Linked DNA regions of Cricetulus griseus. The protein of the gene in region 2 binds, or shares a complex with, the protein of the main gene of each other region. Links are inferred from orthologs where the notes say so. Each region holds a gene or a part of one and is shown on either strand. Other genes may lie near its edges.

The links.
Region 1: the proteins of Sptlc2 (region 2) and Ormdl3 are in contact, whole or in part, in a cryo-EM structure (PDB 7K0O), measured with the Homo sapiens proteins. The link is inferred for Cricetulus griseus from reciprocal best matches to the Homo sapiens genes SPTLC2 and ORMDL3. Residues at the interface, in NP_004854.1 of Homo sapiens: Glu65, Thr66, Pro67, Met68, Ala71, Val72, Tyr75, Tyr86, Gln116, Phe118, Glu119, Asn120, Phe121, Tyr122, Tyr127, Trp134, Asp259, Glu260, Leu261, Asn262, Val267, Arg271, Ile279, Met320, Val495, Val496, Gly497, Phe498, Pro499, Ala500; in NP_001307730.1 of Homo sapiens: Met1, Asn2, Val3, Gly4, Thr5, Ala6, His7, Ser8, Pro12, Val16, Ser19, Arg20, Gly21, Ile22, Leu24, Ser25, Leu28, Phe63, Val67, Lys68, Gly69, Thr70, Pro71, Phe72, Glu73, Pro75, Gln77, Arg81.
Region 3: the proteins of Sptlc2 (region 2) and serine palmitoyltransferase small subunit A are in contact, whole or in part, in a cryo-EM structure (PDB 7K0K), measured with the Homo sapiens proteins. The link is inferred for Cricetulus griseus from reciprocal best matches to the Homo sapiens genes SPTLC2 and SPTSSA. Residues at the interface, in NP_004854.1 of Homo sapiens: Leu73, Gly77, Val80, Leu81, Phe84, Leu87, Arg88, Leu91, Leu126, Arg129, Ile130, Tyr156, Met475, Pro476, Ala477, Lys478, Gly480, Ala481, Arg484, Glu485, Asp533, Leu534, Leu535, Gln536; in NP_612145.2 of Homo sapiens: Trp15, Tyr18, Gln19, Leu21, Leu22, Val23, Thr24, Ala25, Tyr27, Met28, Leu29, Glu30, Pro31, Trp32, Glu33, Val36, Phe37.

Annotation. Positions count from the first base shown.
Region 1 is NC_048600.1:111,717,371-111,720,872, reverse strand, and holds the end of Ormdl3 (ORM1-like protein 3), read left to right. Parts: intron 1-110; exon of another isoform or gene 111-115; 5' UTR 116-135; coding exon 136-309; intron 310-943; coding exon 944-1,095; intron 1,096-1,393; coding exon 1,394-1,529; 3' UTR 1,530-2,947; downstream 2,948-3,502. UniProt on the Homo sapiens protein: Plays an essential role in the homeostatic regulation of sphingolipid de novo biosynthesis by modulating the activity of the serine palmitoyltransferase (SPT) in response to ceramide levels.
Region 2 is NC_048598.1:116,491,106-116,494,174, forward strand, and holds the end of Sptlc2 (serine palmitoyltransferase 2), read left to right. Parts: intron 1-2,174; coding exon 2,175-2,294; 3' UTR 2,295-2,534; downstream 2,535-3,069. UniProt on the Homo sapiens protein: Component of the serine palmitoyltransferase multisubunit enzyme (SPT) that catalyzes the initial and rate-limiting step in sphingolipid biosynthesis by condensing L-serine and activated acyl-CoA (most commonly palmitoyl-CoA) to form long-chain bases.
Region 3 is NC_048598.1:147,641,310-147,645,725, forward strand, and holds the start of serine palmitoyltransferase small subunit A, read left to right. Parts: upstream 1-1,490; 5' UTR 1,491-1,569; coding exon 1,570-1,681; intron 1,682-4,416. UniProt on the Homo sapiens protein: Component of the serine palmitoyltransferase multisubunit enzyme (SPT) that catalyzes the initial and rate-limiting step in sphingolipid biosynthesis by condensing L-serine and activated acyl-CoA (most commonly palmitoyl-CoA) to form long-chain bases.

The DNA.
Region 1 (3,502 bases), on a different chromosome or scaffold from region 2:
GGATAGTGGCGTGGAGCTCTCAGGGAAGGAAAAGCCTCCTCTGTGGGGCTCAGGGTGTGAGGGGCAGGGAAAGTGGTGTGACCTGTCTCACCTGTGTTGCTTGTTTGCAGAGCAGCAGTCAAGAGGGGTGGCAGGATGAATGTGGGCACGGCACACAGTGAGGTGAACCCCAACACACGGGTGATGAACAGCCGCGGCATCTGGCTCTCGTATGTGCTGGCCATCGGACTCCTGCATGTCGTGCTGCTCAGCATCCCCTTTGTGAGCGTCCCTGTCGTCTGGACCCTCACCAACCTTATCCACAACTTGGTAAGAGCCTGCTTACTGCCAGTCTCCGACCATATGGGCTGTTGTGTGCCAGAGCTGAGAGATAGGAGGAGCTTGACCTGGGACAGACAGCAGGTCCTGACAATGTCGCCTGAGCCAAGGCCGGGCTCTTATCTTGGCCTTGCTCCCCCTTGTGGGCTGTAGCGTACCTACAAGAATCAAATCTGCACCTTGCCTGTGTCTCCAGGATGGGCTTGCTGCTGGTTACATTTGCGCCACCTGAGAGCTTAGAGCTGAGAGCTGAGGCCTTGCTGAGGTTCTCCTGAACCTCTGTGCTCCCTAAAACCTGCTTCCTTATACCCCACTTTTGAGCAGACAGGGTAGTCCTCCTTCCTTGGCTTGCTCCTTTTAGCTGACATGCAGAGACCCTAGTTGGGCTGGAGGGCAGCCATGTTTGCCCATTGTGTAGCTAACTCCTCCCCTTATGCGGTCCCCATGTCCTTCCACCATGTGGGCTCCTGGGCGCTCTTTTGTATATTGAGACTGCCTGCTTGCGCCAATGCAGCAGAGGAAGGTGGCAGTCCACCTGGAGCTGTTTCTGTGTGTGACAGGTTGGGAAGCCAGGCTGGGAGTCGACTTGCCTTTTGTATTTTCTGATGAAGGTCTTTCCTTTCAGGGCATGTACATCTTCCTGCACACGGTGAAAGGGACACCCTTCGAGACTCCAGACCAGGGCAAAGCCAGGTTGCTGACCCACTGGGAGCAGATGGACTATGGAGTCCAGTTCACAGCCTCTAGGAAATTCTTGACCATCACCCCGATTGTGCTGTGAGTGCTTTGGCTGTGGGAGACGCCAGCAGGTGTGGTAAAGCCAGGGGCTCAGCTAGGCTCCAACTCTCCCCAACTTTGGCCCTTGGTTTAGAGATGAGCAGAGGGAAGGAAGGAAGGGGCATACCTTGGGTCTCACCCTGGCCCCTGGGTCTTTCTGGCCGACTTTCCCCAACTCTGTGCAGGAGACAGGCCCATAGGCCTGGGGTAAGCTGGGGGTAGGTAAGGAGTGAGACTTGTCGCTCCACTTCTTAGTTGGGACCCTTATTTTCCTATCTTCTTGCCTTCCCCGGCCCAGGTACTTCCTCACCAGCTTCTACACCAAGTATGACCAAGTCCATTTCATACTCAACACTGTGTCCTTGATGAGTGTGCTCATCCCCAAGCTGCCCCAGCTCCATGGAGTCCGGATTTTTGGAATCAATAAGTACTGAGGTTGTAGCCCCTTCCTCAGCCAGGTTGGCAGGGGAAGGGTAGAAGGCCTTTGCTGTGATGCTGAAGACAGGAGCCTCTGGACACTCACTGCCAGAGATGGGGGTGTGCCCTGGGCCTGGCTTCCCCCTCGCTTCCCCAGTAGCCGACTTGGAGTAGCTTGTAGTGGGGTTAGGGTGGGGCCCTTGGGCTCTAACCCATTCTGAAGTTTTTGATCTTTTCCTTTTGCCTTTTGAGTAGAGATGCCGTGGGGGTGGTCATGAAAGGGGCTGGGCTTTCCGGCTGACTGTGGACCTCAGAAGTTGGGACAGGAAGCCAGGAAAAACCCCTGTTGGCTTGTTTACCCTCAGGCAGCCATAGCACTTTAGCCCCTGAGAGGGGCAGAGGGACGGTACGGCTTCTGCATCGTCTCCCCCTCAGTCTTTGAGTGTGTGGGGTGAGACTCACTTTTGTATGTATTGGAAACACACGTGCTGCGCTGTCTCTCCCCTCTATGTAGAGCAGTCAGGCTCGTTGACTTCCTTGCAACCCACCCTGGGTGAGCTATGGGGTAGGAGGAAGATTGGGAAAGGAAGATGGGGTTGGGGAACACCTGGTGTAGAGGTGGGGCCAGGATGCTGCTGCCCTGGTCCAGGGGAGAGGGGAGCTGTGAGCAGGGGGAGGGTGGGGTCTTAGGATGGTCAAGATAGCAGCAGCTGATGTGAATCAGTGTGAAAAAGAGGATCTGGGGAGGAGCCAGATCCAGCCTCCTCTGGGATGTGGGCTGGAAGGAGAGCTGGCTTGGAGGGTTAATTTACCCACAGAATGATGGTGGGGAAGGGTGGGGAAGGAGGGAGTTTGAAGCTCCTGGCTTGGTGTGAGGGCGTGCACAGGCTGAAATAGGCCTGTGAGTCCTCAGAAGCACAGGTCCAATCGGACACTTCCCTTAGCTGTGTCTGAGGGAAACTTCCCTGGGTAGCTCTTCCTCAACCCTTCAACCTGTATTCTCATGTAGATTGTGCCCGGGCAGTGCCTCTTGTGTGGCCAAGAGGCCCCCTCCATGTGAGGTCAGTGGGCTCCACAGTGCTATAGGATCCCTGCCCAAACAGGGCACTAGTAGGGACAGCTGCAGGCACTGTCTCCTCAGCCCGAAGAGAGGTGGCTCACAGAGTCTGACTAAGCTGAAGAGGGGCTGTCTTCTCCCCTCGCTGGTTTGGTTCGACTGGGGCATGTTCCTTTGGAAGGGTGTGGGTGCCTGAGCTCTCCAGGGGATGGAGGGAAGTCACTCACCCTGTTTCCTTCCCCTGACCCTCATTCTCAACCCCATGTATCATAGGGAACTTTCACCTTGTGGTCTTTCTAAGCAAAGTGTGAATAGGATTTTTACTCCCTTTGTACAGTATTCTGGAAAATGCAAATAAAGTACAACACGTTCTGTTAACCACGTGTCTCTCCGCATCCTTTTGATGTTCTGTTAACCATGTGTCTGTCTGCACCCTTTTGGCCTGGGGAGGGAGGGGTGGTGGTGTGGGGACTCTGGGGCGGCCCAGGGGAAAAGCCAAAGTGGATGTGGGGAAGCTGGTGAGAGCCTTGCTGAGTTGCAGCTAATCCCCATAATCCCCGCTGCCTGTGCCTCACCTGCTCTTCCTCTGATTGGGTCTGAGCCTCTGACTTCGTAGGCCTGGCTGGGGGGATTGGGAGTGGGGTTTGGTGGCCAGGAAGGTCAGTCCAGACATGGCCTATAAATGGAGTGGGGTGGGGGTTGCTACTGGTGCTCTGGCATGGCCCATTCTGGCTTCTCACCTCAGCCATTCCCAGTGGGTTTCTGTTAGGGAGGCTGCCTTTCCCCCTCTCACTGCTGTGATGAGAGGGAGGGAAGAGGGGTCCTCAGGGCTTCTTGCTAGCTCAGCTGGGAGAGGGAGGAACCCTTATCTCCCGAGGACACTGGCCTCTCAGATTGTTCTGTGTAGTCTTATCTGCTGCTCCCTGGCCAGGT
Region 2 (3,069 bases):
AGATTGGTGGTTGTGAGAGCTTAGAGGAAAGCAGGGATGCAGAGCAATAAATGTACTGAGTATGGGAGTCATGGGAATTAATTGGGAGACAGAGGCCAGCCTGGTCTACGGAGTCAGTTCCAAGGCAGACAGGGCTACACAGAGATCTGTCTCAAAAAGCTAAAAAAAAAAAGAGGAGGAGGAAAAAAGCAAAAGGAAACTCTCTACAAGCAGTGAAGTGATGAAAGTTGTGCCATGATGGGATTATACTAGAAGCACTGAATTGTGTCCAGTAAAAAGTTGGGGTTTGGCCGGGCGTTGGTGGCGCACGCCTTTAATCCCAGCACTTGGGAGGCAGAGGCAGGCGGATCTCTGTGAGTTCGAGGCCAGCCTGGTCTCCAGAGCAAGTGCCAGGATAGGCTCCAAAGCTACACAGAGAAACCCTGTCTCGAAAAACCAAAAAAAAAAAAAAAAAAAAAAAAAAAAAAAAAAAAAAAGTTGAGGTTTGTGGAATGTGGGTCATTTTTCAGTAAAGTCATCTTTCCACATAATGGGAAGAATAACAGTATCCGCTGTGGGAGGGCAGTTGTACTAGCACTGTCCTCACTCAGCCTGGGCTGGATATGTCTTTCTCTAGGAACTCGTCTTATGCCTTGTGCCAGAGGTCACTATAATTATTTGCTAATAGATATTACCATATAATGGTTCTTTGCTCCTAATCTAACCAAATAACCTCATTTAAGGGCCAGCAGTTTCTGTTACAAATTTGGTTTTTTATGTAGACAAAACTTGTGTGGGGCTCTGAGTGGTGGTATATGCTCATAGTCCTGGGTTCCCAGAAGTCTGAGATAGAAAGATCACTTGAGCTCAAGAGCCCCAGATCATCTTGGGAAGTTTATTGAGATCCCATATCACATAACAAATGAAAAAATAGAATCAAAAACCTTGTGTGAAATACTAGATATGGGAACAAGACTCTTACTTTTATCCCCTTGGGCACTGAGAGTTTGTTTCTGCTCACTTCGTGTTTCTAACCACTTTCTTCTTCACACTGATGAAAAAACACTAGGTGTTCCTGGAGTCAGGGCTCATAAATATCTTTTCCTCTGTGTTCTAAGTCATGTACACCTTTGTTTTAAATGTATAAGTCCTCTACCAGTCAAGGAGATAAATGGCTAATGGTTTCTCCCATCTGAAGTTCAGAGTTAACTGTCTGTGTGGAGTCTTCAGTTAAGCCTGGCCTCCAAGGCCCCGCTGTTCTGATAGCACAGTGAAGCTCAGCTCTTATTCTTTATTTATATTCTTCACATTTTGGAATAAAAAAACATGCAAACTGACCTTTATGCTGGTAAGCAGTTCTAAAATGCATATTTTCTTTTAAAATATTTTTTATAATTTTTTTATTGTGCTTTTGAGTGTGGGTGTGGTTTCAAACATGCCATGACTTGCATATGGAGCTCAAAGTGCAAGTTGCAAGAGTTGGTCCTTTCCACTGTGGGTCCTAGGGATTGATCTCAGGTTGTGAGGCTTTGTGGAAGGCGCCTTTACCTGCTGAGCCACTCACTGGCCCAAAGTGTGCATTTTCATACAGAATTATAGCTCTAATCCTGACAGGAAGCCTATTCCCTTTCCTCCTGAGCACCTTACACAGATAAGAATTGCAGCCTTTGTAGCGCATGCTTGGGTGCTCATGGCCATCTTGATGACCAGGCCTGAGCTCTTGTTCAGATGCTACCACACACACACGCACGCACGCACGCACGTGTGCTCTGGAGACCAGACTGGCCTCGAACACCCAGAGATCCGCCTGCCTCCTGTCTCCCGAGTGCTGGCGTGTGCCACCAACTCCTGGCCAGATGCTACTCTTGCTTCAGCTGTGTACAGTCTTTCCTGCATACTTGAATTAACTGTATCCCTCTAAGATGACCTTGCCACTAGCCAGTGGCATTGGTGGCTCATGCCTTTAATCCCAGCACTCAAGAGATGGAGGCAGGCGAATCTCTGTGAGTTTGAAGCCAGCCCGATCTACAGAGCGAGTTCCAGGACAGGCTCCAAGCAACACAGAGAAACCCTGTCTCAAAAAACAAAACAAAACAAAAAAAAGATGCCCTTGCCACTGTTGTTTGGGTCCAGCAAAGTGTTGGGCATGCTTGCATCCTGCTCATCCTGACTGAGCACTGTTGTGTGTGTTTTAGGCTTTAAAGGAGATAGATGAAGTTGGAGACCTGCTGCAGCTGAAGTACTCACGCCGTCGGCTGGTGCCTCTGTTGGACAGGCCCTTTGATGAGACTACCTATGAGGAGACAGAAGACTGAGCCTTTTTGGTGCTCCCTAGAGGAGGAAACTCCCTCCCAGGACAGTGTGTGGCCTTTCTGAGCCAGTTCCAGAACCACACTTCAGTGACCACCTCATGTGAAAGACATTTCCGAAGCTACTGAAGGTGGACACCTCCACTCCAAATGGCATTTTGTAAATAGTAAAAAAAGAAACAAACTGCTTCACATTCTTCCATTGTTTGCTAAGTCTCACCTTTATATAATATATATATATATATATAAATGATTACTTTGTCCATTAAAAAATGTTTTATTTTATAACTATTCTACTTGTGAAATCACACTGACCCTTGCCTGTGGCTTACCACACAGGCATTCCCTACTCCAGTCACCTCCTGGGCTTGGATCCATCAAGACTTAACCTGGCCCTGGCGCTCCAGCCTTGAGACTCACTGGCCCTCTCCCTAGGGAGCAAGTGCCTTCTGCTAACTTCTTGTCCAGGTCTCAGAGGTCGCCCCCCCCCCCCAATAACCCTTATTTAACCAGTCAAGTTAATCAACCAAAGCATTCTATCTTTAGTCTTAAATGTTAACAATGCCAGGAGGTTTATTATGTGACTCCCCCTGGCCAAGGACCTCCCTAGACTTCTCTTAATCTTCATTGTTGTTCTGGTCACCAAATAGTTTATTTATTCATTTTCTTCATATGGTCACAGACTGAAGATGTGTCCCAAGTTTGGGTTCTTACCCCATCTAGCCCTAATGCTTCCGACCTCCACAGTTATGACAGTCTCTAGCTGCTTCTGGGTCCAGAT
Region 3 (4,416 bases), about 31 Mb from region 2:
AGCTGATGCAGAGGCCATGGAGGGGTGCTGCTTACTACTTTGTGTCCCATGACTGGCTTAGTCTATCTTCTTATAGAACCTAGGACCACCAGCCCAGAGACGACACCACAGGCAATGTGCTGGACCCTCCCCGGTTGATCACTAATTGAGAAAATGCCTTAAAGCTGGATCTCATGGAAGCATTTCCTCAACTGAGGCTCCTTCCTCTCTGATGACTCTAGCTTGTATCAAGTGGACATACAAAACCATCCAGTACAGTTCCTTAGTCCTGGAATCAAACACTAGACTTTCATGTAGAGGTATTATTTTTCTGTGAAACATCTATCACCCATGTTTCTTCTATTAGTACTTCTCCAGCAGTTAGCTCAAGAACTATTTCCCAGAAACCTTTACCCTTCCAATCTAATACAGAGAACACAGATATCCTTTAATCACACTTCACTGTAGTCTACCTGCCTGCCTTCTCTAGCAGTACTAAGTATTTTATGGATAGATTTAAGTCTATTACTGTTTTTAAGGTCTTTGCTCATAAAGAACACTTGGTATTTTTAAGTTAATAGTTGTCAGACTTCAAAGTTTTAAAGCTTAAAGCAGCAGGCTCAAAACTTTTAAACATGTAAATTGCAGATCATTTAATTATGTCATTTCATATGCAGACAGTGCATGGACTTCCAGAAGAGTGGAATACAACTGGTATTGTTGCTGGTAGAAAAATCTTAGGAGTGCATCTCTAGGAGACAGCTCCCACACTGACCTCAAGCTGTCTGAAGAACCCACTACATTAAGTTCTTAAGTTCACTTCCCTTGATCCTGATCTACTTGGCTGTTTCTTAAGTGCAGCCACCAAAAATGGGCAGCTGTTTATGGTCAGTTCTCTTGTCTTTAGGTTAAGGAGTACTTGGGGGGCGGTTACAAGGCCTAGATAGGTGTGTTTTCATGCATGTGCCTGGGTGAAGAGAAGAACTGATGTACCTGTCACTTTTACAGTTTGCAATACCTCCTTGGCTGGGTGACATTTGGTAACCACGTTCTCTTTGATCCTTCATTTTCTCAGTCCAAGGACACTTTATTTGCATGCCTGACTCCATGGTTGCATTCTTACCCAGCCTTGTAACCCCCTGGCCCAGAGGCAGAAGAGAGATATTCTACACACTTGTTCCTAAAGGAAGAAACCCTTCTGGGCTGGTCTGAAGGAACCTGGTTCGAAAGGGCATGCCCTCGACTGGACACCAGTGGACACCGAAACCGGTCTCGCAACCGCCATGCGGGCGCGTGGGGATGCAGAACAGGCGCTTAAACCCAGACCGTTTCCTCCGGCTGGAGAGCGCACCGGGGGCGAGGCACGGGGCGGGGCGCGAGCACCGAGGTGGCTTCCTGACCAATAAGCGCCGGTCAGGCGGGACCGGCGGTGGCCGCTCGGGGTGCGCGCGGGGCTGGGCGTACACGGTGACGCGCGGAGCCAGCAGGGCCAATGGGCGCAGGGTGGTGGCGGGCGGGCCCCGAGGCCTGGGGCTTTAGGAGGTGAGCGGGCCGCCGGCCGGCCTGACGCTGCTGCATCGCGGGAGGCGCATGGCGGGCATGGGGCTGGCGCGGGCCTGGAAGCAGATGTCCTGGTTCTACTACCAGTACCTGCTGGTCACGGCGCTCTACATGCTGGAACCCTGGGAGCGGACCGTGTTCAGTATCCTGTGTTGCCTGGCCTGGCCGGGGCTTGGAGGGGCACGCGCGCTGGGGGGTGGGGGTGGAGTGGGGCGGGGGTCTTAGGGCCAGGGGAGGTGAAACCGCGGAGATCCGGGTGTAGGGCGCAATTCCCCTGCCCAAGGTGGTGGCATCCTGATTTCTGCAGGCCGTCCGGAGGGCGACGTCTCCCCTGGTGCTTCCTGCCCCGCTTCGGCCGCGCCTGCCTTTTGCTTCAGTCCCCTGGTAGGAGGCAGGGATGATGCTGGTTGAGCAAATCGCTCCAGGCTTGGGCGTCTTTGACCCTTTAGCTATTCCTGATTTGATTGGCTTTGGAGCTACAGAACTCTAACCAGTTCACCAGGTTGTGAGGACGTGGTCGTGACACTCTCATACAGTTTTGGAAAGCAGTTTATAAGTTCCTGGCAGGCCTTTTTGATCTTCAAGATGGCAGTTTAGAAAGTGGGATTTATTTATGATTTCTTTGCATCGTAAATACAAACTGTGCCCGGGACAGATTTGTGGTTAGTTGTAGGTGGGGTTTCAACCTGTGCTTTGTTGTGTAGTTTATAAATAAGAACTGTTGAGTGACGACTTTGCTGAGCATTTCGTGTATACCTTACCTCACCTAATTTTGACAGCCCCAATGAACAGCTCAAGGTTGTGATGTCTGGGATGTTTGTTGGCTCCCAATGTCTATTTTGATATCCTCTGATATTATTCCTGTGGACTAAATACTAACAATGCATTCTTTCTTTCTTCCAGTCCCCTCTCCTTAATAAAATCTGAATTATTTCACATCACGTGTTCATTTCGTCAAGGCTCAGCTTTCTGATGTGGTTTAGCTTCCTTAGGAACAACTTCACACATGCACTGTTGCATTCTGATGACTGAGGTAGCGCTGGCTCTGCCTTTTATCAAGGGTGCCGGTGTTGAAGTAGCATGAAGTTGTTTGGAGCTGACTCTTGAAAAATTTTAGCTGCTTGCAAGACATTTTATTACCATTGGTATTTCTTTTCTAACCTAGAATTTAATAACCAGAATGCATATTTGGGGGTTTGGAATATAAAGTTGCTGATTTTCTGTATTGTGTGTTTTGTAGCTTTAGTTCTGTCTCTGGATTTTGTAGGTCAGGTAAAATGTACATTTAAATACATGTTTTATTGGAGCTTCTCAATAGTAGCAGGTAATCTTGACTGGAAATTAAACAATGTCAAAATAACAATAATGAAAGCCTAATGTGGTGGTTCATAACTGATTGCAACGTTCAAGAGGGTTGCTGGGAGTTCAAGGCAGCCTGGGCTACATAATACATAGCCAAGGACCAGGCAAACCAGGGTTACATAGCAAAACTCAAAGGAAGGAAGGAAGGAAAGAAAGAAAAGAAAGAAAGAAAAGAAAAGAAAATGGGGTAAAGTTTGAAACTCTTTAAGTCAGAGGTTGATGGTAAAGCTTAGTGTGGACATGTATACGTCAAAACATTTGTTGGTTTATGGATAAATACTACAGTGGCAACAATATTAAGATTTTTCTGTGCTATGTTTTAGTAGAAATAGTGTCCTGTTTTGAAGACAGAGAAATTATGAAGGGAAACCTCAGTAGATTTTGGTTTTGGTGTTTTTGACTAATTGGATCTAGCTATGCATCCAAGCTTGTGTTTGGCCAAGCTATGTGGCCAAACTTGCCTCAAACTCAAAGTCATCCTCCTCTCTTAGCCTTTTGAGTGCTGGTATGGTGTGGGCCACCATGTTTGCTGTTGTGTATTTTCTGCTGTTACCTTTGGATTTTCCTTCTGCAGGAATGGATGCTCTTTCCTAGTACCAGGGAGGGCTAACTGGATGAAACAGAATCTTAGTGAACCCTGTCTCCAAAAACAGCAGCTGTAGCAACAGCATCATTATTCGAGATCACATAGTGTAGTGGTCTTCAGACAGTTGGTGTATGTAACCCTTCAAAGGAAAAAAAGGTGGATGATGGATTCCCTTGCTCATTTATGTTGACATAGGAGTCTTGTAGATAGCTAGAAAGAATTTATTTATACATATATTTTAATACTTTTGTTAAAATTGTTTTAACAAAAATTATTTTTTGTTACTTTTTTAACTGTATACTTTTGTTAAAATGATTTTCTTACAATTCATAGAAAATGTTCATTGCATAACTGCAAAACCAGACTGCACGGTGAAGCCAATAGGAAAAAAAAAATCAGCTTTAATTTCTATCAGAAAAAAAAAGCTGCCTTTTTTTTTTTTTCCTTCTGTTCAAATTATTGTGTCCATAGCTAGATGCAGTGGTGCATGCCTGCAGTCCTAGAACTAGGGGAGGTAGCTAACCGCAGGAGCATCAGAACTTCAGGGCTAGCTTCAGCTACATGGTGAGTTTGAAGCTAGCCTTGGCTTCATAAAACCCTGTCCCCCCCAAACCACAAAACCAAACCAACCAAAAAACATTGTGTTAAAATAAACACTCCTGTTTTCCTTTGGGTGAGTAAATAGATGGCTTGGGGTTGTGCCAGATGTCTGTTATCTGAATGAAAGTAAAACCTAAGTTATTATCCCTTCTTTGCTGTGTTAGAGGTTCTATGTGTGGAGTCATGCCCCCTCCTCTCCCCAAGTGTTCTCTCTTGAGATTGAAGTAGGTGGGAGGGTATGAGGAGGGGGATGGGAAGACTAGGTAGCCCAGGGACAGTTCTCAGATCCTTGTTAGAAGACCGGAAGTAGTTCTCTAACTGGATTGTTG